Linked DNA regions of Tribolium castaneum. Each later gene encodes a partner of the first gene's protein in a complex. Links are inferred from orthologs where the notes say so. Each region holds a gene or a part of one and is shown on either strand. Other genes may lie near its edges. The genes, in order: thoc5, Hpr1, Ref1 and thoc7.

Region 1 (8,024 bases):
CTTGTTTTTTACGTTTGTAGCTTGTAAGGACACAATAAAAAAACACTTTAAAAAATAATACTTTATTTTGAATTATAAATACAAAAAAAATTACACCGTCTGAAAACTTATAGAATTACACTCCATCGTCTTCAAATTCAAAATACAGCCTTGCAAAGTCCTACTAAACTCTGGCACACTAATCAGTGTAACTTTCTGTCCATCAGGCCCTAAAATAAACCCAATCAAATAACCTTCCCCAAACTGGCCAAACAGTCACCTGTGCACTCCCTCGCGCTAAACTTTTCCTGATTCCCCGCGAAAAACACATGTGGACACTCTTCAATAATAAACGGATCACTATCATAAAACGGAAAACACCCCAAAGTATCGGGGGCCGTGGGGGCCAAATGCCCCCACTTCAGACAATTCTCCAAAACCTCCAAAGGGTCCGTAATCTCGCAATACCTCATCACATCCCTCACTGGCTGTCCCGACGTCCCCAAAATACGCACACCCCCAAGCGAGTAAAAATACGGATTAGAGACCTGATTTACCGACTTGTAAACCCCCGATTGGGGGAACATGCAGCGATGCATGGGTTTTTGGGGGAGGATGCGATTGGAGGGGTCGTTCTCCCCCGGCATCACATCGACGTCAATGACTTGCCCCAATTGGAGTAAAAATTTGTCGAGAAGTTTAACTGCATCAATAGAATCGGAAGATTCAGGCCGACGTGATAACATCGAAATTGAAGGTTTGACTTGTTCAGGGGTGTTACGAATGGAATTACCGGCGATAATAACACGGGTGATTTTGGAGGCTCGAAAAGGGGCCACGTCACAAAGACCCGACAGCCAGAATGTGAAAAGTTGGAGGTTTAAATCGCACTGGGGGCTGTTTACTAAATCTAGACCGCTTAGGAAAATAACAAAGGCCGAGTCGTCCAAAAGGGGGCGCGGGATTTGGGGCCGGAAGTCGGCGAAAGTGTAGTCTTCGACTATAAAACGGCCCTTGTCGTCGGCGGTCCCCAAGAGAGCGCATGAAATGCCCGTGACGAGATAATCGCAAGGAATGCAACCTACAATTTAAGAAAAAACGTAATCAAAAGTGCCCTAAAGACGTCTATTAATATTATCAGAGCACTCTTGATTAGGTTCTTACTTATGATCAGATATCTCTGCAACTCGTCCTCGATGAAAAGCTCGTCGGACTTGTCCGTAAAATGGGTCACAATGGGCTGGGGCACCAACTGGTCCTCCTCAGCCAATTGTTTCAAAATCGACGGTTTTAATTTCTGATTTTTAAACAATGTCCCAATGACAACACATTTCGGGTGGTTCTCTTCGGATAGTTTGTGTAATTTACAAATGGGGTACTGCGTACCCCATTTTTTCGCAATATTGACTTCGAGTAACGCAGTCATTTCTTTAAGCCGCGCCAAATAGATATTAAAGTATTGCTTATGGTAGTCGGGGGCCACCTCTGACCATTTCCGAGACAAGTTTTCGTACTCTAACGACAGTCTTTCAGGCATTTTCGCAAAAAACACAAACAAAAACTTTGAGGTTACGTCACCGATTGAGGTTATGTAACTCGCGCTTTTTTTGAAAAAGGGTCGCCAACACTACGCACTAAATACCAACTTTGGTGGAAAAATGATCAAAATCGGAGAAATTGAAGTAATTTAATAATTCTACCGATTAAATTTTATTTCATTATGAAATAAAAATTAGGGCGTCGCCGTCATAGCGCGAGAAAAAAGATTGCCAACAAAAAGTGTGAATTGACAATTGATTCTCAATTTTTTAGAGGGAAACAAAGAAACCACTTACCAGTTACCACTGTGGGGCTATTTTCTGACGAGGGGAACTCTCAGACACGTTTAAATTCACACAAATTTAACAAAAGCACTCGGTTTTGGGAAAGCCACGCGCGTTTTTGCAAGTGTTGCCAACTTTAAAAAGCTAGTAGCCCGCCACAGCGCATGCGTACAACAATTAGTTAAAAAATTGTGACGTCGCGACGCCTGTGTAAAACTTTGTGTAGTGAAAAATGTTTTTATTTATTGTTAAATGCTCCCGCTTCAGACGTGTAGGAAAAGGGTAAGTGTAAAAAGTGCGGCAAAAGTAAAAACACAACACGATTCAAAAAACTCATTTATTTGTCAAAAAAAAAAACTCATTGGGTGTAGACCCCAACCCCAATATTCCTGAATTTGAACGGCTTTCTCCTATTTCTGGCGCTGAAAAACCAAAATTACCCCCAAAAAACAAACTCAAAATCCCTACCAAGTCGATTTAATATACATGGTGTTCTGTTGAAACGTCCCAGGGTCCTCCGTTTCCAGATAAATGTCCAGTCCGACACACAATGACATAATCTGGGCCGACAAAAGCCAATTTGCATTTGAAAATTCGTGGTTCCAATCGACATTAATCGACCGTTCCATGTCCTGTAAAACGAGTGAGACCAACCCAAAAACCCAAAATTACCAACAAACCCGAATATTATCATCATTCTGCGAATGTCTAGTCCCGTTATAGTTCAAACAAAGCGCAAAAATTGGTGGAATTGACGGATAATCGTTCTTGATAACAACAAAAGCTTGCAAATTTGCTAAAATACAAAAAAAACACTAATTAATCACGTGACTCACCAAACTTACCTTTATCACGCGTGATTGTCGCTTTATAGAAAATATCATTCGGCGAAATTAACTCAGCTTCTAGCAAACCCTCCGTAAATTTAGCCTCGCAAAAGCTTTGATACGTCCCTGATGACCATTTCGTAAGACTCGAAATCGTGGTTCGCGGCAAATCGACACTAGCCGGCAAAACAGGAATCACATTCCGCTCCAACTCCTCCAATTGTTTCGCCAAGGCATACCGCGACTTTAGGCGCTTTTTTATTGTTTTCATGACCGACTCGACGTTAGTTTGGCTCAGTTGATCCGAACCGGACATTTTATTCAAAAAATCAATGCCGCACATTTTTTGCGCCCACGTGTAGACGTAGCCAAGCTCTGGGACGAGGCTTTGGAAGGACCCCAAGCCGACTTTTTTCAGTTGGTAAGGGGTGCACGGGTTGGGGCTGTCCAGCCCGAAGTCGCCCTCCACCAGCTCCACGAGGACGCTTTCGTTTGATAAGACCTCACGAGCTGCGTTTCCTGTAAGAAAGACACTCGGGGGTCACTAAAAAAAATTTGCATTTTTTCCTCCATTATAGTAAAAAAGTAAGAAAGTATGATTTTCCCTTTAAAAGCGAGAAGAATTTTTTGCTGCTCACGCTCACGGATATTACGTGAGTATGCAAAATTTCAGCATATTCCGATAATAACAGGACATGACTCAATTGTAAATAGAGACGGAAAACAAACCAAGTAAAAAAGGTGTAGTTTATGTTGTTTTTCCTTATCATTCACAAAATACCTGTAACTATCCGTTTTTTTTTGTCTAAAAGAGGATTTTTGTAGATAGTGGGTCAAGTACCTGTAATATTGCTCGGAATATTGACGCTTGAAGATACAGTGACGATTTCCAATTTTGCGTAATAACTTAGTCGAATTTTAATTGAAGGACCGTCTTTAGTAGTGACAGTAACTTGTACAGAAAGCGGGTGAACTTGTAACAACTTGCGTTTTTTCTCCTCAAGTGGATCAACATGTACCGACTTCCGGTGACGCCGTTTCTTCGTTTCGACAATTTCCTCCACCTCCTGTATCTCAGCTTCCGGTTCCATGTCCTCCTCCTCCTCTTCTTCATCCTCTGCCAACTCCAACTCCTTCCATTGACTAGCCTCCTCCTGGTCCCCCATAATCTCCACACTCATCCCCGAGTCGTTCACCTGTCTGTAGGCGTCAATATTGGCATAAAACAAGTAAAGGGGGTTGGGTAGAAGCGAGGCAAGCTTGTGTTCAGCCTGGATCTTGTCAATGTGGAGCCCCAGGTGCTCCTGCACCGGTTTCGTGGCCTCCATGACCGAAGACAAGAGGGGCCCCAATTTATCCAATTTATTGCGACGTTCGGCAATATCCCCCTCTAGTTTTTTCTTCTCCTCTTCAAGTTTTTTGCACATGTCGGCCAAATGAATACGCTGCTGGAGCTCCCACTCGAGGCGCGCGAGCCGCAGCTCGTGCTTCGCCATTTCGTCGGTTTCATCAAACTAAAATTTTTTTTAAAGTTTTTGAAATTAAAAAAATTAAACCAACTTTTTTGAATTTTGTCGTTAAATTTTTCGGCGCTTCGGCGAGGAACTCCTCAACGGGGACCAGCTCGATGTGCTCGTCTTTAGACCTGAAAGAAATTTTTGGGGGGTTTACACAAAAAGGGGGTTTTCGTTACTTGAACTGGAAACATTTGCGATATTCCGACATCAGATGGTTAGCCTCGTACAACAAGTTCTGATATTGTAAATTAATACTGTCCACTTTTTGTTTTTCCGCAGCCAATTGTTCTTTTGGAAAAACCAAACGCACCTTCTCCATGCGGTTCAGTTTTTTCAAAAGCACCAATAATAGACACACTTCGGTGGTTTTTTCCGTAATTTTAGCCCTGACCTACAAAGCACACCCAAAAAATATACAAAAAAGCGACAAAATTCCAATTTACATCAGACCCACTCTTCATTTTCAGTTCACTTATTTCGGCGAATAAATGCCGAATTTCTTTGCACGTGTTGAAGTAAATCTGAGCGTCGGTATCGTTCGGTCGATTGAGGGCCTCTTTCTCCTCAAATTCGACCGATTTCTGCAAAAAAATCAATAAATGTGATAACCAAAATTAGGGAGGCGTAATTACTTTATAAATGTCGATTTCGGCCTCATTGTCGGCACTAGTCCCACTTTTGCGCTTTTTTTTCAAACTACTTGACTCTTTAACCATTTTTTTAAGCAAAAAAGATTATGTAAACAAGCCGACAAAAAATTTGAGGTTAGAAATGCGCAAACTGACAGACAACAGACGCCATTTTGTTTCAGGACACCACATCTTGGTTTAAACGAATTAATTTCTGTGTTTTTAAATCAAAATCCAAACATTGCGACTTATATTATAAATAATTTGGATAATTTCAATTATTAGTTGTTACGTAATCGGATTATGTAACATTTGGGTCGTTATATAATCATTCAGAGTACCGGACTTGTCGTTCGTGTAAAAACATTAAAAAAAATAAAATCGCACTTTTTAATATCAAGACTGTAAATGGTAATCACTATTGTATTAAGGGCGATTTTCGTGATTATTTCACTAAATATGGGTGAATTGTGAATGGCGCGAAATTTGAACGCGTTTTTACCTGCTTTAATTAAACATCGCGCACTTCTTGCCGCTTTCCGCCCGAATTAAAGCAATTATCGGTCCCCGAATAATTACTTGGCCCAATAAACAGGAGCTATTCTAATCGTGTAAACTTCGTAATTTAATAGTTTTTTGTAGTATTTTTCAATCTCCTTCCAAGTGTTGTTTACACGCGAGCGCTCGTAAAATTCTCCAGGTATAAAATCGAGCAGTGTTAAGATAGGACTTGGATGTTCTTGACTACTCATCCATTTTGCTAAGGACCAGGTTTGCAGTGGCACGTTTCTCTTGTATTGGTTATCGAGGATGTGGACGGGTTCTCAAGATGATAAAAAAGGTGTCGCGTCAGAACTACTACATAGGATCACACGTAGGAAATATTGCTGGACGACGATAAAATTTTATCGCCTGTCCGAAAACACATTATACAAGAGAACGAAAAGCTTTCCGCACGACTTTACGCGAATTAGTTCACCGAGGTATTTCTTAATTTTCTAGACAGACGGTTTATGCCGCAAAAAGAAAACGCCGACTTTAAAACGTTCTGAGACAATTGGGACAAAGTAAAATACGGCATGGGGATTTATTCGCCATTTGAATGCGCCGCCAGAAGTGGCTCCATCTAGCTTTGATGTATTTCCCCCAAAAAATATAAATTTGCAAGCTTTGTTATTAAAAATAAAAAAATTAGATTAATTATTTCGTAATTGTTTCGAGGCATAAAACACCGCTAAACGTTATTAAAACTGCGCAAACATAAATGAAGTGTTTTTGTGTTTTGCTTTGAATTTCATTTAGGTAAACAGTTTTGTTGCCAAACTCGTTACGCTCTTAACACTCCACTATTTTAATAAAAGTTTTACCGCACTATATTCGATTATAAACTGATATTTTCAAGAGGATTTTAAAAATGATTAAATGCGAAAATTTACTATATAATTCGTCACTGAATCCTGTTTTTTTACAGTGGAAAACCAAGGGATATTTTAAAAAAAAAAACGATTTTTATTGAAAAATAAGTTGAAAAAATTGGTAAGCTAAAAATTAAATTCAAATCATATTTTAAACCTCAACTTTATGTCAAAACTCAAATTTCACGCTTTTTTGCAAACGTTGATTTCAGAATTGACTACCAAAGAGCGCAACAACCTTAAGTTTAACATTACTAATTTTTTTCTGGCATAAAAAAATGTTTAAAAATGGTGGATGCGCCGGGATAACATTTATTTTTTTACATTTTTCTTGTTATCTGATTATCACATTTGATGTCACATTAAATTTTACGCTATCTTGTAAACGACTGACATTAGAATTGACCACCAGAGAGCCGACTTTTGACTTTTTGTACCATTTTTATATTGTTTAAAAATGGTGGATGCGCCGGGTTAGCAATAATTTCGGGTAAAATCTCAACTTTGTCACAGAATTTGTGACACAAATTTAAATTTACCGCTATTTTGCAAACGACTGATCTTAGAACTGATCACCAAAAAGCGCAAAAGTTTTAACTTTAACGAAGAATTTACTTATTAAGTATTTTTAGCGAGGTTTTCAATGTTCAAAAATGGTGGATGCGCCGGGCTAGCGCTAATTTTTCACGTTTTGCTTGTCGTTTAATTATCACATTTGATGTCACATTAAATTTTACGCTATTTTGCAAAAGACTGACATCAGAATTGGCCACCAGAGAGCGACTTTGACTTTTTACACCACTTTTACGTTGTTTAAAAATGGTGGATGCGCCGGGTTGGCAATAATTTCGGGTAAAATCTCAACTTTGTCACAAAATTTGTGACACAAATTTAAATTTACCGCTATTTTGCAAACGACTGATCTTAGAACTGATCACCAAAAAGCGCAAAAGTTTTAACTTTAACGAAGAATTTACTTATTAAGTATTTTTAGCGAGGTTTTCAATATTCAAAAATGGTGGATGCGCCGGGCTAGTGTCAATTTTTCACGTTTTGCTTGTCGTTTAATTATCGCATTTGATGTCACATTAAATTTTACGTTATTTTGCAAAAGACTGACATCAGAATTGGCCACCAGAGAGCGACTTTGACTTTTTACACCACTTTTACGTTGCTTAAAAATGGTGGATGCGCCGGGTTAACAATAATTTTGGGTAAAATCTCAACTTTGTCACAAAATTTGTGACACAAATTTAAATTTACCGCTATTTTGCAAACGACTGATCTTAGAACTGATCACCAAAAAGCGCAAAAGTTTTAACTTTAACGAAGAATTTACTTATTAAGTATTTTTAGCGAGGTTTTCAATGTTCAAAAATGGTGGATGCGCCGGGCTAGTGTCAATTTTTCACGTTTTGCTTGTCGTTTAATTATCACATTTGATGTCACATTAAATTTTACGCTATTTTGCAAAAGACTGACATCAGAATTGGCCACCAGAGAGCGACTTTGACTTTTTACACCACTTTTACGTTGCTTAAAGATGGTGGATGCGCCGGGTTGGCAATAATTTCGGGTAAAATCTCAACTTTGTCACAAAATTTGTGACACAAATTTAAATTTCCCGCTATTTTGCAAACGACTGATCTTAGAACTGATCACCAAAAAGCGCAAAAGTTTTAACTTTAACGAAGAATTTACTTATTAAGTATTTTTAGCGAGGTTTTCAATGTTCAAAAATGGTGGATGCGCCGGGCTAGCGCTAATTTTTTCACGTTTTGCTTGTCGTTTAATTATCACATTTGATGTCACATTAAATTTTACGCTATTTTGC
Region 2 (8,059 bases), about 1.4 Mb from region 1:
ATAGACTCACTTTTAATTAATCTGAACCAAATAAATGCCAGAAAAACCGTTTAAATAATCAACAAGATTGGAAAAAACTGTAGTTATCTTCCTAAACGTCTTCTTTAATTAGTTTTGTAATTTATTTTTTCCGGAACTTTAAAATAAATGGAACAATCGATATTTTTTTAATTTTTTTTTTCAAATTTAAATTTTTCTTTTTTTTGAGGTTGGCAGTGGCACTCGTGTGCCAAGAAGTAGGGTTATGTTAGATTCAATCAGTTCGTAATTTCTTAAATAACAACAAATTAAAGGTATGTCAGGCGTGGAAGTGATTACTGACGACTTGCAAAGCCACCCCTGGTGCTCCCACGGCCCCACCCTCCTTTTTTCACGTACTAGTAATGGGGTTAAGAGACGTTTTTTCGCCTGTTCGGCCTGCAGGGACCGCAAACTGTGCCCCTTTTTTCTGTACGAAGACGAAAAACATAAATACAAATCTGAGGGGTGGAAAAACGAGCGTGAAAAATTTCTTCGGAATATTGACCACAGAAAATTATTTATAACTTTAAACCAAGTAAGATTTTAAAAAATGATTCGGCTGTTTGAGTGCGTTTTTTAGATGCGTCAATTACCCCCAACTGATAGGGCATACTGCCATACGTGTGCCGGCTTCCAATTGAAAAAATTCTGGGACAAACATACCGAACATAATTTTGTTACAACAGTTAGTGATTATGAAATTGCACATCCGAGTGAGTTTTTGCCCCCTTTGGAGGACGCAAAGAAGGAGGCACAGTTTTTATTTTCACTGACTTCGGTCCGTGTGATCGTGGACATTTTTAAAAGTTTAAATTACCGCAAAGTTATTAGTTTGGGGACCCCCAGGATCCACGAATTTATCACAAATCAGTGCCCTGATATGGACACACTTTTACTAGATTTCGACTCGCGGTATCACAATTTTTACGGCCCGTTGCAATTTTGTTGGTACAATAGTTTCAACAACCATTTTTTTCTCCCCGAGTCTCAACAAGTGTTTGAGGATTTTTTAAAAACTGAGAGGTGATTAAAGCGCTACGTCTATTTTTTTTAATTATTTTTTTCAGCGATCTCGTACTGATTTTAGACCCACCTTTCGGGGGTCGGGTCGAGCCCTTAGCCCACACAATCAAACAAATCAGCGAAAAATACAATCAACTGAATGAAAAAACAAAATTGTCGGTATTTTGGGTATTCCCCTACTTTATGGAACCGCAAATACTAAACAGCCTCCCCGACTATTCCATGCTCGATTATAAAGTCGACTATGACAACCATCCTTTGTTTCAAGACGGCGCTAAGGCGCGGAAATTTGGGTCACCCGTCCGAATTTTCACGAACGTGGACCCGAGGTAAGCCGACGATTTTTACGAACTTTTCGGGACAAAAAATTGTAGTAAAATAGTCCTTCCGGCGAATGAAGGCTACAAATTTTGCCAAGAGTGCAACAAATGGGTTTCAAACGAAAACAAACACTGCCCCATTTGCCAGAAATGCACCTCGAAAGACGGCCGGACGTACACCCACTGTCCCATGTGTGCAAGGTGCGTTAAACCGAGTTGGCAGCACTGCGAAAAATGTGGTCGGTGCTGCCAACCGGACCACAAATGCGGCGACTTGGTCTTTACTCAGGTCAGTCTCAAACTCCCAATTCAAGGTTTAATAATTTTATTAAAGGATTGTTTCCACTGTAAACAACCGGGGCACAAAAAACGGGACTGTCCCAAGGTTGATCACAAACAATTACATATGAAACGCAAATTGAAAAGTAAAAATAGGGCGAAACGAGTTAAATACAGTTAGGAATCCATCGAATTGATTTCATTTCGGACAATTTCCGCCGCCTCCTCCATCTCCAACCCTTCCAAAATGTACAAGAAGTTGTCCAAAGTGGCATCTTCGTCGTCATCGAACCACAGTTGTAGCATATTACGGGCCTGGTCCACCTCTTTCTCATTTTCCATACTGAAGAACTGGATTTCGTCAGTTTTGAAGCCCAACTTGCTGGCTAGTTTTTTCCAATTGGGGGCCACTTTCTCGCTGAAGAGTTGCAACTGGTTCGGGTTTAATTTATGCTCGACTCGCGCGTTCTTATCGTCCATAAATTCCTCCGTTTCGGACGGTTTGATGTCTTCGGTGTTTTCATCAACTTGCGTGTCCTTAAACAAATTTTCTTCCTCGGCGTCGTTTTGTTGCGACTCTTGCGAATTTTCGGTCACGCGACCTGGCTTATCATGCGCTATTTTCTTGACCATCATCTCCAAATACGAAGACAGGGGGTTCATAATCACAGTACTGTAGGTGAAAAAGTGGGGGCTGCGCTTAGCCAAGAGTCTCAAAGCCCGCCACCCGTAATTCCCATCTTTCAGTAAATTGTCTTCGTCTTTGACTGCGCCAGGTGACTCGATTTGGGCGATGGCATCGGCGAAATAATCCTCAAGTGTGGGGAGAAAATCGCGCTCTCGGCCTTTACAAGCCTCCAAGTTATCGGGGCATAGGTTCCACAGTTTGGTCAGTTCGGTGCTTCCCATGTAGTATTTGCCCTCACTGGAGGCCTGTTTAATGATGTCGCCTAAGAGAGGGCGCTCTTCGGTTCGGCGCTTGTCGGGGCTTTCCGTGGGAACCACCGATTTTTTCAGTTCGGGACAACCGTCGTTCTTCCAAGCGTTCCAATACTCCTCCCGACTTAGAATATTTGAGGCGATTTCGGCAAATCGTTTACCGTCTGGAGGAGTCTCGCGTAACAAACTGTAGACTTTTTCGGTGCTTGATTGGATCCACTCTTTTTGGTCCGACTTTAACTCGAAACTTTCGCTAAAAAAATAAATTAAAGGTGCGTCTAGTTTAAAGAAACCGACTCACGATTTAAATTTTACGGATGATGAAAGGTACTGGAATAAAATTAAAAACTGCAACAGGACGGCGCGCCGAAAATTGACGTCGTACAGTTGCAAGTCGAGCAATTTTTGGCTCGTCAGGTACTTGGAAAAGTACATTTTATTTTTACTTTCGTCACAATAGCTCCCGTTATTTTCCACGTGTTCAAGCTTGAGGCCTTGGAACGTGTTAAAGACACTCGTGGCGTACTAAAAAAAATAATAAAAATCGGTTAAAATGCGCAAAAATAATTACGGTGCAAAACAGTTTCCATTGCACTTTAGTGTACAACTGGTTGGGGTTCCGGAAAAAATCCTGGAGCGACCAAAACTTGCAATAAAACGTGAAATCGATCACGTTTTTCTTTTCGTCGCCGTCAACGTCGCCCCCCTTTTCCTGGCTCGAGTCCGTGCCATACTCTGTCGTGTTTTCCAAATTAAATTCGCTCACAATATTCAAACCTGAACGTTCAGAAAACGGGAAAAACTTGGCCAAAAAGAGGAGAATTCGGCCGCAAAAAACGGTCGCCGTGGACCGAGATAACCGCCTCAATAAGTCGTTACACAACCTGAGTAAATTATTTTTGCAACAACTGAAAAACAAGTTCTCTTTCCACACTTCGACATTGTTCTCTACGTAGAGGAACATTTCCTGACAGGCGTCCAGCGTTAAGGCGTCAAAAATGTCCGAAAGGAGCATCACTGGCATTGTGGGGTTGCTCAGTTCCTTGCGACATGTTAGGACGCTAAAATCGACCAACTCGCGTAAGACTGAGACGTTGACTTCCTTTTCAAGGAGTTCGAGTAAGACGTCGCGGAACGCCTGGTCCAGAGGGGCCTTAAGGTCGATGGCGGACTTCGACAAGTGTTTGGCTTTAGTTTCGATCAAATCGGTGGTTTTGGTCTTGAAAGATTTGCGTAAAACGTCCTAAAAACCGGGTTAGAAGTGGCGTTTGAGGTTATGTCGGGGCCCACCTGGTATTCGACCCGTAACGACTCGAATTTGCCCCCCATTGCTTAAATGCAACGCTTGGAGGGCCCCCAACGTGAAAAACGCTCAATTTCGTGTGAAATACTTGAATAAGCGACCGGAATCGTCTTGTAAACAACTGTCAAAGGTCAAAAATAATGTTAGAGTCCGCGAAATGACAGATCGTCCACGGTGGTAGGAGTGCGCAGATACGAAAACTCGTCTCGGACGAGTCCAATCTTTAAATTAGGGGTGTTGGCAGAAAACAGTGGCGTGGCGTGTACTTACATGTGTAGGGAATTCGTCTTAAAGTTTAACATTTCAATATTACCAGTTATAGTAAAGATACCAGTAGAAACATTTTTTGCAATAAACGCGTTTTTACTCTTTACTCATTGTGTATTTTTATTTATTCGACCTCTCTGCTTTGTATTTCTAGGAAATCAACGTGTATTAGCATTAGATATGATTTTTACTATTTCATCTTGCAATTATTGAATAGAGGAAATTTTAACTACTACAAATTATGAATCTCAAACCCTTCTTGATCATAGAATGGTTTTTTGCTACGCCACTGCTCAATCTCCTCACTCGATGAAGTACGCATTGGCTCCGCCTATCGTGGTCGTTTACAGAGTTTCCGAGCTCTACCACTAATTTTCGCACTAAAATTTCACATTGCCAGTTTCTGTTTAAATATAAACATGCATTTTTATTTTTCCATTAACTGCATGCGAAACTTTTATAATTTTAGACGTTTATAGACAAATACATTTGTCATAATTAATTTTTCTAGATCAATACTGTTCTATTTTGAATAATTCTGTGTATGAATGTTTCTAAATTTGACGGATTTGGACAGTGAATGTTTCTGGTTATGACCTGTTTTAGACGTGTGATGACGTCACATCCGAGGTTAGGTGTGCGGCGCAGGCGGCGAGGGCGGTTCAGTCGACAGCGAGCAGTGGTACGGGTCAGATCGGGAGCGGGAGCGGGAGGCGAGGCGAAGCGAGGTGAGTCGGTTTATTTAAATTATTGTGTATTGTGCGGTTTCGTTCAATTTATTCAGTTTGTTACTTGCCGTTGTCGCGAACGGACGTGTGTTCAAGCAAATCTAAATTTTCCGGTTTAAATTTTCAATTCGGTGGCTAGTGATCGCGTTTGAGTGACACATTTTAAATACAGTAAATAAAATTATAATCAAACACTCAAATAATTAATTGCCACGTAATAATTTTGTCTTTAATTTCAATGAATGAAAGTGGCTTGCTCAAAATTTAATGCAAATAAACATTTTTTTGGTTTCAATATTATTATTATTTTTTTTTAATGCTACAAACGGTAGCCAACGTGGAAGCGATATGAAGGTAGGTGTATTTTATTGCTGTGTCGTATTTATTTATTTCTCAAACCAATAATTTCATAAAACTTAATTGCAATTAAAATCTTTAAATGCGGTGTTGAAAAGTGATATTTTGAGTGACACATTTTAAATACAGTAACTATAAATAAAATAAAACACTCAAATAATTAATTGCCACGTAATAATTTTGTCTTTAATTTCAATGAATGAAAGTGGCTGCTCAAAATTTAATGCAAATAAACATTTTTTTGGTTTCAATATTATTATTATTTTTTTTTAATGCTACAAACGGTAGCCAACGTGGAAGCGATATGAAGGTAGGTGTATTTTATTGCTGTGTCGTATTTATTTATTTCTCAAACCAATAATTTCATAAAACTTAATTGCAATTAAAATCTTTAAATGCGGTGTTGAAAAGTGATATTTTGAGTGACACATTTTAAATACAGTAACTATAAATAAAATAAAACACTCAAATAATTAATTGCCACGTAATAATTTTGTCTTTAATTTCAATGAATGAAAGTGGCTGCTCAAAATTTAATGCAAATAAACATTTTTTTGGTTTCATTTTTATTATTATTTTTTTTAATGCTACAAACGGTAGCCAACGTGGAAGCGATATGAAGGTGGGTGTATTTTATTGCTGTGTCGTATTTATTTATTTCACAAACCAATAATTTCATAAAACTTAAATGCAATTAAAATCTTTAAATGCGGTGTTGAAAAGTGATATTTTGAGTGACACATTTTAAATACAGTAACTATAAATAAAATAAAACACTCAAATAATTAATTGCCACGTAATAATTTTGTCTTTAATTTCAATGAATGAAAGTGGCTGCTCAAAATTTAATGCAAATAAACATTTTTTTGGTTTCATTTTTATTATTATTTTTTTTAATGCTACAAACGGTAGCCAACGTGGAAGCGATATGAAGGTAGGTGTATTTTATTGCTGTGTCGTATTTATTTATTTCACAAACCAATAATTTCATAAAACTTAAATGCAATTAAAATCTTTAAATGCGGTGTTGAAAAGTGATATTTTGAGTGACACATTTTAAATACAGTAACTTTAAATAAAATAAAACACTCAAATAATTAATTGCCACGTAATAATTTTGTCTTTAATTTCAATGAATGAAAGTGGCTGCTCAAAATTTAATGCAAATAAACATTTTTTTGGTTTCATTTTTATTATTATTTTTTTTAATGCTACAAACGGTAGCCAACGTGGAAGCGATATGAAGGTAGGTGTATTTTATTGCTGTGTCGTATTTATTTATTTCTCAAACCAATAATTTCATAAAACTTAATTGCAATTAAAATCTTTAAATGCGGTGTTGAAAGTGACATTTTGAGTGACGCATTTTAGATACAGAAACTATAAATAAAATAAAACACTCAAATAATTTATTGCCACGTAATTTTGTCTTTAATTTCAATGAATGAAAGTGGCTGCTCAAAATTTAATGCAAATAAACATTTTTTTGGTTTCATTTTTATTATTATTTTTTTTAATGCTACAAACGGTAGCCAACGTGGAAGCGATATGAAGGTAGGTGTATTTTATTGCTGTGTCGTATTTATTTATTTCTCAAACCAATAATTTCATAAAACTTAATTGCAATTAAAATCTTTAAATGCGGTGTTGAAAGTGACATTTTGAGTGACGCATTTTAGATACAGAAACTATAAATAAAATAAAACACTCAAATAATTTATTGCCACGTAATTTTGTCTTTAATTTCAATGAATGAAAGTGGCTTGCTCAAAATTTAATGCAAATAAACATTTTTTTGGTTTCATTTTTATTATTATTTTTTTTAATGCTACAAACGGTAGCCAACGTGGAAGCGATATGAAGGTAGGTGTATTTTATTGCTGTGTCGTATTTATTTATTTCTCAAACCAATAATTTCATAAAACTTAATTGCAATTAAAATCTTTAAATGCGGTGTTGAAAGTGACATTTTGAGTGACGCATTTTAGATACAGAAACTATAAATAAAATAAAACACTCAAATAATTTATTGCCACGTAATTTTGTCTTTAATTTCAATGAATGAAAGTGGCTTGCTCAAAATTTAATGCAAATAAACATTTTTTTGGTTTCATTTTTATTATTTTTTTTTTAATGCTACAAACGGTAGCCAACGTGGAAGCGATATGAAGGTAGGTGTATTTTATTGCTGTGTCGTATTTATTTATTTCTCAAACCAATAATTTCATAAAACTTAATTGCAATTAAAATCTTTAAATGCGGTGTTGAAAGTGACATTTTGAGTGACGCATTTTAGATACAGAAACTATAAATAAAATAAAACACTCAAATAATTTATTGCCACGTAATTTTGTCTTTAATTTCAATGAATGAAAGTGGCTTGCTCAAAATTTAATGCAAATAAACATTTTTTTGGTTTCATTTTTATTATTATTTTTTTTTAATGCTACAAACGGTAGCCAACGTGGAAGCGATATGAAGGTAGGTGTATTTTATTGCTGTGTCGTATTTATTTATTTCACAAACCAATAATTTCAAACGTATTGTGTATTTTTTATTTTGTTTAATATTGACAAACGTTGCTTGTTGTAACTTTCATGCAAATAAAGATTTTTATTGGTGTTGTTTTAATTTTTTAAATGTCTTGCTACAAACAGTAGCCAACGCAGAAGCCATATGAAGGTAGGTGCATTTTTTTGCGTTTTATCTTGTGATGTGTTGATTTAATAGCTTGTGTGCCATATATTATACCGTATTGTGTATTCTTTTTTCTGTATAATATTTATTAAAGTCGCTTGTTGTAACTTTCCTACAAATTAATT
Region 3 (7,037 bases), on another chromosome or scaffold:
CGTTATCATCTCCAAGGACAGTCTTCACCTCCTAAACATCAAGAAATTCCTTTATTAGAGAAGTTTGTGTGATCCTTCTTGGTGTAATATGATTATATTAATATCTAGAAATCGCAATTAATTGTTGTATAGACACCTTTCAATAACGTTTACCTTAATTTGCCTTAAGTTGATTCATGCTTCATTAAAACACTGTCATTCACACTATACACTAGATTCAAATAAAAGATCCATATAAAAGTAGAGATGTTTGATCACAAAAACATCCAAAAAATCACGTTAAATCGTTTTCTGAAGTCTTTAAAACACATTAAAACAAAATGTCGCCAAAAACCGCAACGACAGCAAAATAATCGGCTGTTGATAAATCAAAGAATTAAAAAGAGAAGTGTGCGCACGTCGATTATTTTTAAGTGAACCTTCTTTACTTTTAGCAAAATGTGTGACAGATTCCTTTAAATTTACAGATTTCTTTGCAACTGACGCGACCTCTAAGCTGGAGCACACGAACTATTTTAGCCGTTTCCCCCCTTTGCCCCACCCCTCCCAGTGAACACATAATTTGTATACACTTTCAGGGGCCTGATAAAAAACAAAAGAGTTGCGAAATTGAAACGTCAGTCAAATTCCGTTGTATTATTTTGATGAATCGACAAAATTAACCGAAATGGCAGATCAGGTAACCCAATCTAGGTTAATTATGGCCCCCCAATGCCCCTCCTATTAAAGGCTGGCGATTCTCCCAGCGAGAGCAAATACACGCACAGCTTCGAGACAGAGCCCCCTTACGAAACGCGCGAGTACAAGTTCACTTATCCCTCGATTATGGTATCAAATCCGGGATTGGGGGCTTATGTAACGCTTTGTGTTATTACAGGAGGCACAAATCCGGAAGTTGAGGCATGGGTTAGAGAACTGGAGGGAGATCATCCTGGGGGCTAAGAGGGTGTTAGTTTGGGAGAAGCAATGGCACCCCACTGCCATTGTTGGCGGTAAAGTGGGCCCCCATTAAGTGGCAGAGGCTGTAACTGATGTTTCAGGAAGCACAATCCTTTTCACGTTTTTATGGTTGTTGGATCCGAGTATTTTGACAGTATTTTCAGTTTTTGGTTTAGTTTTGACCATTTTTGATTATTTGATTCCGTCAATTGGTAGCTCTATGTTTAAACCGGAGATGTGGACGGCACGGAAAGAACAGGAGTATGAGGAGTTTTGCACTAACGTTATTTTGTATAAAGCTAGATTAGAGTTGTCTTGGGCTCGGTTTTATAAAATGAAGAGCACCAATCGAAAAATGGTATTTTATTGTGGTCGTGTCGCAATGTTTGATTATTTTCTTTTAGTACTTTTTATTGACTATGATTACGTTGAGTGCACTCGCTTGGATTGGATGTACTTTTAATAACTTGTTTTTGTCGTACGTTTTCGTAACTTTTCTACTCCTCTTCCCAGGAATGGAACATAATGGGATAATTACAAAATGGAGTGAATACGTCGGTACTTTTCTGATGGAATTGATGCGACAAACTAAGTCAAAAGGTAGCCAAGAAAAGGACGATTAATTTGCTCAATAAAATTTGTTCTTTTATTGTTGTGTGATACTTTTGACTGATGTAATTTAAAATGTAGTTTTATACATAAATAAATAATTTTCTAATGAAATGACAAGTCACACTTGGAGCCTTATTTATTCCCATCAATACAAGAGGAAAAAGCCTAACACTAGTTGTAGTTGTAAAAAAACAACTGTATGTAATCCTCGTTTTTTAGTGATATTTCTTATAAAATGTTATGCTTGTTGCAACTAAATGCAAAACACTATTTTCATTATTTTTTATTGTTTTTAAGTTCCACACTTATACTTTTAGCAAACCATTTTTAATTATTTTATTCCGTCAATTGGTGGTTCGATATGTTCAAGCCAAAGCCTTCCGGCGACACGGAAAATACAGGAATATAAAAAGAGTTTTGCACCAACGTTATTTTATTATTGTTTTTTGTTCCACATATAGAAACAATTTGTGCTCAAGCACGTAAGATGTTAGAACTCATTTATTTTACACGAATAAACAATAAAGGTTTCAAAAATATTAAGTCTTTGGACATATTGTAGGCCACGTTTGGAATATATAGTGGTGTCGTGGTTTCCATTTTATTATAATCAGATTAATGCCCTAAGAACATGTAGATTTTGTTTATAAATATCTACACTAGATTAAATTCGGTAACTATGCGGAACAAGGATATTCACACAAAATACTAGGCGAATTTAAAAAAGTTGAATTATAGGAACTAAGAAAACTTAATGTAATTTAATTTTGATACAAAATTGTGAACATTACAAGCAGCCACAAGACAGCTCAGTTACTATAATTATTAATCTTACACTGTTGCTTAATAAATTATTATTTTCTTTTAGTATTCTTTATTGATGAAAATTACGTTGAGTGCACTCGCTTCGATTGGATGTACTTTTTGTAATTTGTTTTGTCGTATATTTAGTAATATAAACCCTAAACGCAAGTTCTCACGGACCCACTTTAGTTGTTCAATTAAAGATGAAAATTTTTAATGGAAATCATCGTAAAAAACTTGATCCACTTAAGACACAACAAAGATTCTGACGATGATTTTTGTTGAAGTTTTATTGTTCAACTTGAAATAAACGACTAAAATCGATCCGTGTCAACGTGCCTTTAGCGACAACTGTTACAAGATTTATTATGGTTTTAAATCAAGATTGAAGGCGATTAATTTTTTATACAACTCGGTCTTAACGTCATGTGATACATTTGGCTGATGCAGTTTTATGTATAAATAAAAAAAATTTCTAATGAAACGACAAGTCACACTTAATTCTTATTTATTCCTATCAATACAATTTACATTAACAAGAGAAAACAGCCTAACACTAGATTTAGTTGTGGAAAAAACGAACCGCATACGTAATCCTCGTACTTTAGTGGTTATTTTTTATAAAATGTAAGGCTCGATGTTACAATCAAAATACAAAATAAAAATACGAAAGAACTAAACACAAGTCACAAAAAGTGGCGCGTTGAGCGTCTCTGATATTAATAGCACTTATTTTATTTCATCTCCTTGGTGTAGGCGTCTAATTCAGCGTCGAGTTCTTCAGCTGTCGGTTGTTTCTTTTGATTTCTGAAACTTCGTCCTCCTCCACGACCTGGCAAACAAACATTTGTTTAGTTGAAAAATCCGGCTGTTGGAGGCGTCGCCGCCGCTGGTCAAGTAATTGTACCTCTGTTAGGTCGTCCCTTGGCAGGTGCAGCCCCTCTTCTGCTTTGGAACTTCCTCTCTCCCGTGGGCCTCCTGACCGGCGACGGAATCTCCGACGTGATGATTTGAATGTTCATGGCGCGTCCGTCGAGAGGCACTCCGTTGTACTGCTTCATGGCCTTAATAGCGTCGGTGCGCCTTTCGAAAATCACATCAGCGGTGCCGAGCGACCGCCCCGAGCGGTCATAGTGCACCGAGGCGCTCTTTAGCGGCCCAAACTCGGCGAACAATTCCTGAATATCCGAGTCGGAGACCGCAAAGTCTAAATTGCCCACCATGAGCTTAGTGGGGCCCACATTGGACTGCACAACGGCCCGAGCCGCGGCCACTTTACGCGGGCCGTAGCCCTCGAACAGATCGTGCTTCCAAGCACTGTTCACATCTCCCTAAACAAACATGGATGGGGGTAAATTCCGGCTCTCCGGCTGGATGCACGCTAGCCGCTTCCATCGCGGGGCAGCTTAAGTATAAACATAGTTAGAAACAATTACCCGGGTGTACTGGCGCGTTATTCCTCCGCGTCCTCGGCCCCTTTGGACGCCGCCGGCTCTTCGGAACGTGCCGCGTCTTGGCGCGCCACCCCCGCGGGTTCCGCCGCGACCTCCGCGACGGCCGCCGCGCCGGGGCTTGGATTTTATTATCTCATCTAAACTCATTTCAATTGTGTCGACCATTTTTACTGATTTTGTACGCTGATTTGACTGAGAAATTCACTTTTTCTACACCCGGCGGCAACGCACACAACCAACGACAAAATGGCGTACAAAATGAACGACAGACGCTGTGCGCATGCGCCACGTCACTGCGCTGTCGGCAACACAGGAACCTGCCCGGATTTTACCAAAAAAAAATACGACCGCATGTATTAGGCAATTTTTTGCATTTTCAGCATAATACAGAAACAAAGAATAAAAACTTATTTTTATGTTTATGAAATAGGTAACCTATTTACACCAATGTAAAAACACCGCTGTATTATTGGTTCCCTATACATTCAATTTTTTTCAAACTTTGTTCTACCAGTTTATGTAGGTAGGTATTTGTAAATGAAATTTTGTTCTTCTACCTAATGTATGTTAAAATATTGTCAATACAAAACAGATGTTTATTTATATTGACTCATTAACACATTTTAGTGTTTGAAGAATCTTTGGCAGAATTGAAATATTGTGTAATGTTAGACTTTCTTTATTTGATCCATTAAAAGTAAAAAAAATCAAATGTGAACACGTTTAAATTTAAAAGAAATTTAAAAAATGTAATAAAAAAATATTAATTTAATTTAAAAATTCCAACAAAACAAACACTCACGCGAAAACGTTTAAAGTTCTCGGGTGTATATTATGTAACTCGCATACGCTCGTTTGCTCAAATCACCGTCTGTTAGTCATATAAACTTTGGGAAAAGTACTCAAAAGACGCAATCCCAATTTCCTAGTTGATATTGCGTTTCTGATTAATTTTTAGACGCTGAAGTGAAAGTTTCAACCTCTAATATCCCAAAAAATAATAAAAGTTTGGATTAAGTAGTTAATTACACAGTAATTAGATGTCAAAACACAAAAAATATTTATTTTTAGTTAGTTAATAATTTGTTCATCAGTTAACACTTCTCTATTATATTAAATACTTACTATCAACCCCGACATATTTCTCAAAATTCTGTGAAAAGTTCGTTATGAACGGAAAACTAGTTCGTTTTATCCGTAAGTTCTCCACCACTGAAGTTTAATCCTGAATTAAATTTTATTTGGCTTTGTACAGTAACTAGTCCCTAAGACTATAAATTTAGTTAATTAATTATTATATTGATTTTTTTAATTAATTAATATTTATTGTAAGGAATTGTAGAATAATCCTGAAAAAAATCACATGCACAGAGAAAACTGTAAAGCACCAGATGATCCTAACATATTTTTGATTTTATAGTTTTATTGGGTTATATACAAAAATACATTCACTGAGATTAAAGATCTCAGCATAATAATTTAAAGGATCGGTTGAATCCTGAGAGGTTTTTTTAATTTTACTCGTGTTAATTTTAAACAGGTGCACAAACTGTCTTCTTCATTTATCATCATTATCAAATTGGAAGTCTGTTATCGCCGTTATTGTAAGTAGGTATACTCGAGGGCCACTGATACGTGTCAATGTCATGACTGGGTGAGTTTATCACAATGCACCAGTTAATAAAAATTGTTATATTTACGCTCTGATAGATGAATCTAGATAAAAAAAAATTGGAAACTGTTTAATCTTGCAGTTTGGAATTTTTTCTAATAACAAATATTATTTTACGCCGCTCCTAAAAATATCGAGTAGAGTACAGGTCAAAAACAATGTCCACTCATAAAATTCGAAAATTAATCGGATCAAGTGAGCGTGGGTTTGTTTATGCTCATTTATCATCTGCACGTTTACATGGCAGAAATTTATTGAAAAGTCGTTTCAGGATTAGTTCGTTTGAGGAACAATAGATGTCTCGTATCAATTAGTGTACTTAAGTTAATGTTACTTTATTATGACCACATTATGACTGAGTGTGGTTCTATTTCGTACGTGAACAGGGTCACGCCGAAAATGACGCAAGTTGTGTCGGCAATCAATAGCAGTCGACTGCCGTTTTATCCAGCCGACGAATCAAAATCTCTTCGTGACCATTTCTCCAACGATAAAAATAATATTTGGCACTTAGTACAATAGAATAATATGGTACAATTATGAATGGGCGTTTGTTTTAATAATAGTCGTGGGGACGCCGGCTGAAGACTGGTAAGTACGTATCCTAATTAAAATTTCTCTAGAGGTCAAGTTTTCTATCTGTAGATCGTCCGTTTGTAGCTATTTCGTGAATTTAATAAACTGATAAAATAATATTTTGAGTACAACACAAACATTATATCGTGTTATGTTTAACATAGTTCAATTCACTCAATCAGTATGTGTTTACATACGCTCGGGTATATATTAAACCGCGAACTTAACTTTATCTTAATCTACTATTTCGCATCTGATAAAATTTAATTATACAGTGAGCGCCATGGCCGGCCCGGGGTACGTCCTAGGCGTCGACATCGGCACCACTTCGGTCAAAGTGTGCGTTTTCAACCCCGAAAACAACGAAATCGTCGCTCAAATCGGCAAGGAGACACAATCGAACGTCCCCAGTGACCAAGGCATCGACGGAAACAAACAAGACGTCCCGAAAATCATTTCCGCCCTCAACACGTGCGTGGCCAAATTACAGAAAAATCTGCTGCAGCAGGTGAGCTGACCTTGCCTTATCGCCGGCAATTCCACGTAAATATTATCATTAGCCGGAAGGCCGCATTCACCTTCAGTTTCGACCAAAAAACTTTGCTTGTGCGAAAATCGCACAACTACAATAGATAATTCAAATAGATATATATTTTTTTGAGTGACTATTTGTAGTAGAAATTTACTCGGACGAGGTGAGTAGAACTATAACTAAACGAGCAACTTCCTATTTGAAGGCATGTGGCAATCGAGGTCTTTTATTAACAGCTCGATTAAAGCACTAGCGAAAATCTGTTGATTCTCAACAGAATAAACTTCCAGCCTCTTGTAAGTACGACGGAAGTTCAAAGTATTATCGATATCAGCAGGAAGGAAAAAGAATAACAGCTTCAAATATTTTTGTTGTTTAGTACAATCCTCCGTAACATCAGTGCACATATTGCTTCTCGAAATTAACATTTCAACTCCCTTTAACAATT
Region 4 (6,772 bases), on another chromosome or scaffold:
TAAAAAATGCAAACATTATGCAACCAGTTGTACAAGCAAAAGTTTAGGTTGCCTAACTTGATAATTATTTAGATAATTGAGTAAAAGTTATTAATGAAGGAAAATAAAAAAAAACACAATTTTAACACTTTATTAAAAAACTGTAACAAAATAAATAACAATAAGTATGTAATATCTTGGTATATAAGTCGGTATATACAAAAATAATTTCGGAAAAATTACAGTTCTGTGGTATCTTCGCTTTCAATAAACCTCCTGTGGCAAACATGCGTTATATTAGTGTCTGGAATAATATATGGCCCATTCCTAAAAGCACCTCTTCCGAACTGAAACAATTATGAATTGCGTCCTCGACAACTTATAACCAGTCTTGGAGGCTTAATCTTATTTTGTTCATTTTCAAATAGTAGTAGGGGTCCACATACTCAGTATCCATTACTCGTTCGATTCTGATTTGCTTTTTTCGCGTTCCCCTGTATTCTCCAGTGCCCTCTCGTTTTGTTTTGCTTTACTCTTCCACTGCATCCAAGTGAACTGCAAAATTGGGTGCGCCCGTTTAAACAAAGCTTTAAATTTCTGCACAAAACATAAATTAAAATATACACCAGGCCCAAAAATTTTAAACTCACATCTACCGTGGTGTAACCATCCATTTTAGTGACTGTATAAATCCCATCCAGTACATTAACCATTTTGGGTCGTCAACCACCAAAAAATCAACCAAATGATCGGCAAATTGGGCCCCAACATAAATTCAAAGTCGGATTTTATTCTTTCAGTACCATAAAATGCGATAAGAGCAAACTCTTCAATGATGACCAAAATCAGGATACAATTCCCAAGTAAATAATGGCCCTGGAGTCTCCTAGATAATGTAAAAATTGCCCTTGAGAACTCACAACCTAAAACCAAGCCCATAAAACCTTAAACAAACAAAAATTTAAAACCAAAATGTTTATTAAAATCACAGAAACATTGACTTTAGACCTTTTGGGGTTCCAGTGATTCACTACGAATTTAATTTCTAAAATTTTGCAATCTTTGACAAGTTATATAGGCAACCAACTATACAGAAGTTTAAATAAAATAATTCTGCAATAATTTTAAACCAAAATGTGTATTAGCATTACAAGCATTCAAAGAAGTGAAAAAATGTAAAGATTTTCTTGCGTTTTCGTGATCCTGATACAAATTTTGGTTTTGGAATTATTTATTAAACTATGTAATACTAAAAAATTTACAGGTTACTGTAATCCGCTATTTTAAAAAGTATACATAAATGATGCACATTTCTTTATAGAATTCTGTAAAATTATACTTTAGTACCTGGAACCTAGATGTCACCATCTAACGCATACTAATATTAATATTGAAACTGCAATTTTACAGAAATCTTTTAACTTTACCGTGTCATCTCTGCATGTCATGGTCTCCTTGATGTATGGAGGTTGTTAAAGCTCCATACATCAAGGAGGCCATGGTTTGAAATTACTTTAAATCCAACCAATTCACTCATAACTACAAAAAACGCAGAAATGTTGAGCTTTTCACTCTTAACAGGCTAAGGAAAACTGACGACAAATTTCTACAAGAAATACAACAAAAAAATTAAGTCTCACGGATTTTTTTGTAGGATTTAATTCGCAGCGTGCAAATTGGTGAAAGTTTGATTTTTTTTTAATATAGTTTACGATAAAATTTTTGCATCATACTTATGGGAATGTAATTCTCTATCTGTTGTAGTTTGTTGTTTGCTATGTTTTAAATGTTATCCAAATGCACGACGACTAGGTGTAAAAAGACACGTTTTCGTTTCAACACTTCAATAAAATATAGAAACTTCATGTCAAAATATACAAACCAAACTAGATTTTATCTAATGACTTTAAACTAATTCTTCTGATCATCGTCGTTTTTGATCTTCTTTACTTCTTTAATGATTTCATCCAATTTGTACAAATCCTTTAATGATACTTCCCCACTTCCCCTCTCTAGTGGTTTAGGTTGTTTGGGATGGGGCTTCCACCCTAACATATTAATGATCTAAAAATGATTAACTACAAATTAGATAAATAAAATAATTTGGTACGCACTTGAAAAGTGGCAGGTATTGTGGTTTTCCCCGTCTCAGGATCAGTTTTACCGTAAAGTTGTTGGTAAATTGCTGCTGCAGCAAACTGAGTCTCTCGGTGCAAATGAAGCGACCTATTAATAGCAGCATTACTCTCTGCCATTCCTAAAAACTCACATTATAAAAACAATAATAATACACCGGGTGACTATAACAGTTTGTACAAAATACTATATTGGAAACACTGTGATAATAGTCACCCGGTATAATCACCCTAACCTTTAAGGTCCCACATTAATTCAAACAAAGTAGGATAATTCACAACAATTTCATCAGTGTCAATAGTGAGCATTGTGAAGCCAGCCCTTGTCAACAAATTGCCAATATCTCTAACTTCGGTAAATGGAGATATGTGAGGAGAAATGCCTCCACGACGCTCTAATTCAGCCAACTGGAGGGAAGATCTCAACTCATATAAAGTATCTCCTCCAAAAACCGCCGCAAGAAGAACACCATCCTCCTTAAGCGATTTTAAAATTTGCTTAAAAGCGTTCGGCAAATCGTTCACCCAATGCAAACTCAAACTTGATATAACCAGATCAAGGGAGTTTGGCTCAAACTGAATGTAATATATTTTAAACCAGTTACAGAGGATTATGGCTAGGAGACTAAACGAGATACAAACTTGCAGGATTTAAATCAAACCAACTCCCTAATAACTTGTAAAAAATGCAGGGTTAAACTTTACAATGGAACAACTGCCGCTCTCTGGCGACATTAACGGAACTATCAAGGAACTTATTACTTGTACTTCGTTTGATATCCTAACATTTAGAGATCCGTAGCTGAGACATTGAAATTAATAGGTTGGCAACATGAGTATGCTGACAAGGGCGTCATTGTCGCCAACTTATTAATTTTAAAGTCGGAGACTACTTTGATCAGGAAATTTCAATCACCTCAATGTGTTCCTCATCTAGTACTTGTTTCCTAACTTTAATACCCTCTTGTACTTGAACACTGTCTAAATTAAAGCGGTTCATATCACATAAGATTAGTTCTTCAATACATTTTGGTGAAATATGTTTGGACACGTAGCCCCTGCTGCAACCTAATTTAGGTTTAACCTTCCTCTTCCTGTATGAACTTAAACTCACCAATGTCTGCGGCCAGTTTAAACTTGCGTTTGATATCAAACACCCTGTCTGCTAGTCGATAGCCAATTTCATCTTTCAAATAATCATACAAATTGGCGTCTTGTGCGGAAGCCGCCCGTTCCCTTTGCAAACTCTTGGTGTTCCTATCAAACACATGCATAATGTGTTCGTCATTTTTCTGGTGAATTAAAGCACCGACCGAAAAGTGTCTCGCTTTTTTAAGATTCTTCAAAATGCGGAGTTTTGTCAAAGAGGATTTACGTGAACGGAAAACTATATTAACCAAAGACATGACACTGTTTAAATGAATTAAAAACAACTCATTTCAGCACAACAAATCATAATTGTCACAATGACAGTTTAGGATTTTGAGGTTAACCAAATGTCAAATGTATGTCAACTGTTGTGATTGAAGTTAGATTTAGCCCTCCGCCCCATTTTTCTGTTCCAAATTCTTACATGTATTTATTTTACTGTTGTGTGTTCGATGGATCTGAGCAGTTTTCAAGTGTTACAAGCCCCTCCGACTGTCTACTACATTCCAAATTTTGTAACACCTGAAGAGGAGGCCCACATTTTGAAAAATGTGTATTCAGTGCCCAAACCAAAGTGGACGTGTTTGTCCAAACGAAGACTGCAAGACTACGGGGGCGTGCCCCACGAGAAAGGCATGATTCCGGAAGCAATACCAAACTGGTTGACGAAATACATGGAAAAAGTCGCTCAATTGAACGTTTTTGAGGGAAACAAACCGAATCAAGTATTAATCAACGAATATCTTCCCGGCCAAGGCATAATGCCACACACTGATGGGCCACTGTTTTATCCCACTATTGCCACCATTTCGTGTGGCTCTCATACAGTATTAGAGTTTTTAGAAAATAACGAAAGTCGTGCTAAAGTTTGCCAATTACTTCTCGAAAGGTGTAGTCTAGTTGTAATTAAAGACGACATGTACGCTAAATACCTCCATTCCATTAGAGAAATTGAAACTGATGTTATTGATGAAGGCTGTGCAAATTTACTAAATTGTGAGAAACAATACGCCATTGGCGATAAAGTCAAAAGAGACACGAGAGTTTCTCTAACCATTAGAAATGTGACTAAGGTGCTTAAAATAAAACTATTCAAATAATTTTTGTACTTGCTTTTATTCGCCTAAAATAACATAGCTGATGACATGTAACCATGGTAACTGTCAGATTTTCTAACATAAATTAAGTAACCGTGGTAATTGTCACTTTTACCAACTTAAATTATTCAGACATGGGTTCAGGGCCTGTGCTGTCCGCCACATCCTCAAGTAGACTGTCGTTATGGCAATATTCGTTTGACTCCTCCAACATTGCTTGTAATTTGCTGGCGCTGGACACCAGCACGTGAAATTGTTTTCTCCTCATGTCCAGTTTCTGCTCCAGCAGCTCCTTTTCCTTGTGCAACTCTTTCAGTTCCGCTTGTAAGTTCGAAAGGCGTTCGTTTGTTTCCTTGCGTGCTGGCTGTTCGGCAATACTTTGTGCCAACAAATCGTACATCATGTGGTTTTGTTTCCATATTTTGGCTTGTACTAAGTTGTCTTTGTTTTGTTTGATTGAGTCTTTTACTTCGCTGATTTGCTGTTCAAATTTGTCGTAAATTTTTTTGTAGTTTTCAAGCTGACGCGATGTGGTTCTTGTGAGGAGTTGGGATCTCCTGACTGAGTATTCACAAAGGCTTAATTGTGCTAGTAGTTTGTCGTGGGTTGCTTGGTTCTCTAAGGGGGAGTCTTCGGTGGAATTTGCCCATTTTCGAAGAGTTTTTGCTATTACGTTGAGCCTGCGATCGTCGCCGGTTCCGTCACCGTCTATGAGTAACTTTCTTTTGATAATGTCCTCTAGAAGTTTTACTGTTTGGACACACTAGTAATTTTATAAGGGAAGTATTTACCATCCGACATGGTACCACGTTTGTCCTTTTGTTTCATTAAGGCGGATTTGTTTGCACTGTGGACGCCGAAAAATTTGTATTTTTTGAGGTTATGACACAAATTGTCAAATGTTGGCACTTGCCAACAGTTGCATCGAAAGTCTAAACCAAAAATTACTAGAAATAGCAATTAGAGGACATGTTGAGATAAGTGTTTTAATGGTTGCATATAACAAAAGCTTATAAAGCGTAAATCATTTAAAAATATGACTATAATTTATTTTATTAAATAATACGTATTTTGGTGATTTTGTCATCGGCTACGAATGTTTTCACTATTTTAAAACACGCTTTCCATAGCAACGTGTTTTAAATTTAAACAAAAACAAAAAATTTTGAATAATAATTTATGCAAAAACGCTTAAAGTTCTCAGGTGTCTAGGTGTCTCGCATACGCTCGTTGCATAACGACAGCCCTCGAACTTTAAGCTTCTAAAGTACCAACTTTAGTCCCGGAAATACAAAAAAGCAAATTTTTGTGTCGTTTTTTGCTCCTGTAAGCAATTTTTTGTGCATTTTTTTTGTCGCAACCTATTTGTTTTGAGTTGTTTTTGCTCCTGAAAGCTTTTTTTGTGCAATTTTTTGCTCCCGCAAGCTATTTTTTGGCCGTTTTTGTAAACACAATAATACCTCAAAAAATTCAACAAAAAATAAACTATGTATTAAAGATTTTTACATTTTAAGTGAATCTGCTCCAGTTTTTGCTACCACAAGTTATTTCTTGTGCTATTTTCTGTTTTCACAAAAAAGCAAAAAGTTTCTAATTTCAATTTTAATGATGTTTGTTATTTGGGTAATTTATTTATTATTATTTTGGATAGACATATTTCAAAATTTTTTATCGCTATTAGAGTATTTCATACGCGATGTGCATTTGACAAAAAACAGAAAGGTCTAGAAAGGTCATCACAATTTAAATTCAAAACAAAAAAATAAGATGAATTTTCGGTAAATCTTACAATAAACAGTCTAAATAGTTTTTACTTTTTAGACACGTAACTCGTAGTTTCATATTTAATTAAGCTTTAAAATATTGTTTTATTTATATTTTATCAATTATATCAAACTTGAAGCATTGCAAGATATTTAATATCTGGTTTCTATCGGTACAGGTACTAACGGAATGATCACCTGATGATTATATTTACTCTAGGTGATTTCACGTGTCTAATGAGAAAAAATTAATAAAGGGTAAAGTACACCAAAGTAAACATGACTGATAACGGTGTACTTTCCTTGTTTATTATTATTTTATTACTACTTGATTCATTATTTAAATCACATTTTTAATAAACGTGGATACTTTAGTTATCAATAAATTAAATCCCGTAATCATATTTTCAAAAATCCGTCGAAAATTATGATCTTAGCAGTTCAAAGTTCACTTTTTTCTTATTTTGTCGACGAATCTCCAATTACTCATCGGATTTAAACGATTCAGGAGAAGACCGCGTGTCCGGAGAATTTTTAAATGTCTCTGTTATGTTCTGAGCATGGTGATAACACCACTGACGTCATTAAAGAAAAAAATCATAACCAAGTTACATTATTTCCTTTGTTGATTATTATTGTTTTGCTTATA

What was found.
Region 2: the proteins of thoc5 (region 1) and Hpr1 are in contact, whole or in part, in a cryo-EM structure (PDB 7APK), measured with the Homo sapiens proteins. The link is inferred for Tribolium castaneum from reciprocal best matches to the Homo sapiens genes THOC5 and THOC1. Residues at the interface, in NP_001002877.1 of Homo sapiens: Tyr52, Arg113, Lys120, Asp124, His127, Leu128, Gln131, Asn132, Leu134, Tyr135, Glu136, Met138, His139, Thr145, Lys146, Glu149; in NP_005122.2 of Homo sapiens: Glu60, Arg145, Arg146, Leu147, Ser148, Ser150, Gln151, Lys285, Met286, Leu289, Val296, Tyr297, Phe298, Leu302, Ser304, Leu307, Leu310, Gln311, Ser313, Asp314.
Region 3: thoc5 (region 1) and Ref1 share a complex: the UniProt entries of both Homo sapiens proteins name them as parts of the transcription/export (TREX) complex. The link is inferred for Tribolium castaneum from reciprocal best matches to the Homo sapiens genes THOC5 and ALYREF.
Region 4: the proteins of thoc5 (region 1) and thoc7 are in contact, whole or in part, in a cryo-EM structure (PDB 7APK), measured with the Homo sapiens proteins. The link is inferred for Tribolium castaneum from reciprocal best matches to the Homo sapiens genes THOC5 and THOC7. Residues at the interface, in NP_001002877.1 of Homo sapiens: Pro48, Asp51, Tyr52, Tyr55, Cys59, Leu62, Gln63, Met66, Ala67, Gln70, Phe95, Lys99, Leu101, Asn102, Ala105, His106, Arg108, Leu109, Gly112, Arg113, Gln115, Thr116, Ala119, Lys120, Val123, Tyr126, His127, Leu130, Leu133, Glu136; in NP_079351.2 of Homo sapiens: Ala21, Asp23, Ile27, Leu30, Val31, Phe34, Tyr50, Met53, Leu54, Leu57, Cys60, Glu61, Met64, Gly65, Thr67, Leu68, Val70, Tyr71, Asn74, Met78, Tyr81, Ile84, Tyr85, Ile88, Glu89, Ser91, Ile92, Ala95, His96, Lys98.

What each region holds. Positions count from the first base shown.
Region 1 is NC_087399.1:3,174,811-3,182,834, reverse strand, and holds thoc5 (THO complex subunit 5 homolog), read right to left. Parts: upstream 4,962-8,024; 5' UTR 4,863-4,961; coding exon 4,779-4,862; intron 4,728-4,778; coding exon 4,590-4,727; intron 4,538-4,589; coding exon 4,323-4,537; intron 4,275-4,322; coding exon 4,190-4,274; intron 4,144-4,189; coding exon 3,471-4,143; intron 3,149-3,470; coding exon 2,648-3,148; intron 2,599-2,647; coding exon 2,483-2,598; intron 2,435-2,482; coding exon 2,271-2,434; intron 2,225-2,270; coding exon 2,161-2,224; 3' UTR 2,125-2,160; downstream 1-2,124. Other genes in the region: PolD2 (DNA polymerase delta subunit 2), read right to left, coding at 91-209, 260-1,060, 1,144-1,516. UniProt on the Homo sapiens protein: Component of the THO subcomplex of the TREX complex which is thought to couple mRNA transcription, processing and nuclear export, and which specifically associates with spliced mRNA and not with unspliced pre-mRNA.
Region 2 is NC_087399.1:4,611,649-4,619,707, forward strand, and holds Hpr1 (THO complex subunit 1), read right to left. Parts: upstream 4,014-8,059; 5' UTR 3,912-4,013; coding exon 3,873-3,911; intron 3,826-3,872; coding exon 3,154-3,825; intron 3,108-3,153; coding exon 2,884-3,107; intron 2,836-2,883; coding exon 1,821-2,835; coding exon of another isoform or gene 1,699-1,820; 3' UTR 1,673-1,698; downstream 1-1,672. Other genes in the region: rRNA N6-adenosine-methyltransferase ZCCHC4, read left to right, coding at 296-556, 602-1,044, 1,089-1,373, 1,419-1,653, 1,699-1,824. UniProt on the Homo sapiens protein: Component of the THO subcomplex of the TREX complex which is thought to couple mRNA transcription, processing and nuclear export, and which specifically associates with spliced mRNA and not with unspliced pre-mRNA.
Region 3 is NC_087395.1:19,977,494-19,984,530, forward strand, and holds Ref1 (THO complex subunit 4), read right to left. Parts: upstream 4,087-7,037; 5' UTR 3,975-4,086; coding exon 3,792-3,974; intron 3,687-3,791; coding exon 3,263-3,686; intron 3,188-3,262; coding exon 3,090-3,187; 3' UTR 2,847-3,089; downstream 1-2,846. Other genes in the region: Arl6IP1 (ADP-ribosylation factor-like protein 6-interacting protein 1), read left to right, coding at 668-679, 730-828, 878-992, 1,041-1,297, 1,344-1,562; sedoheptulokinase, read left to right, coding at 6,076-6,076, 6,333-6,565. UniProt on the Homo sapiens protein: Functions as an mRNA export adapter; component of the transcription/export (TREX) complex which is thought to couple mRNA transcription, processing and nuclear export, and specifically associates with spliced mRNA and not with unspliced pre-mRNA.
Region 4 is NC_087397.1:9,556,544-9,563,315, reverse strand, and holds thoc7 (THO complex subunit 7 homolog), read right to left. Parts: upstream 5,310-6,772; 5' UTR 5,189-5,309; coding exon 5,152-5,188; intron 5,099-5,151; coding exon 4,485-5,098; 3' UTR 4,364-4,484; downstream 1-4,363. Other genes in the region: arginine-hydroxylase NDUFAF5, mitochondrial, read right to left, coding at 1,891-2,043, 2,094-2,236, 2,351-2,690, 3,031-3,182, 3,229-3,520; alpha-ketoglutarate-dependent dioxygenase alkB homolog 6, read left to right, coding at 3,716-4,363. UniProt on the Homo sapiens protein: Component of the THO subcomplex of the TREX complex which is thought to couple mRNA transcription, processing and nuclear export, and which specifically associates with spliced mRNA and not with unspliced pre-mRNA.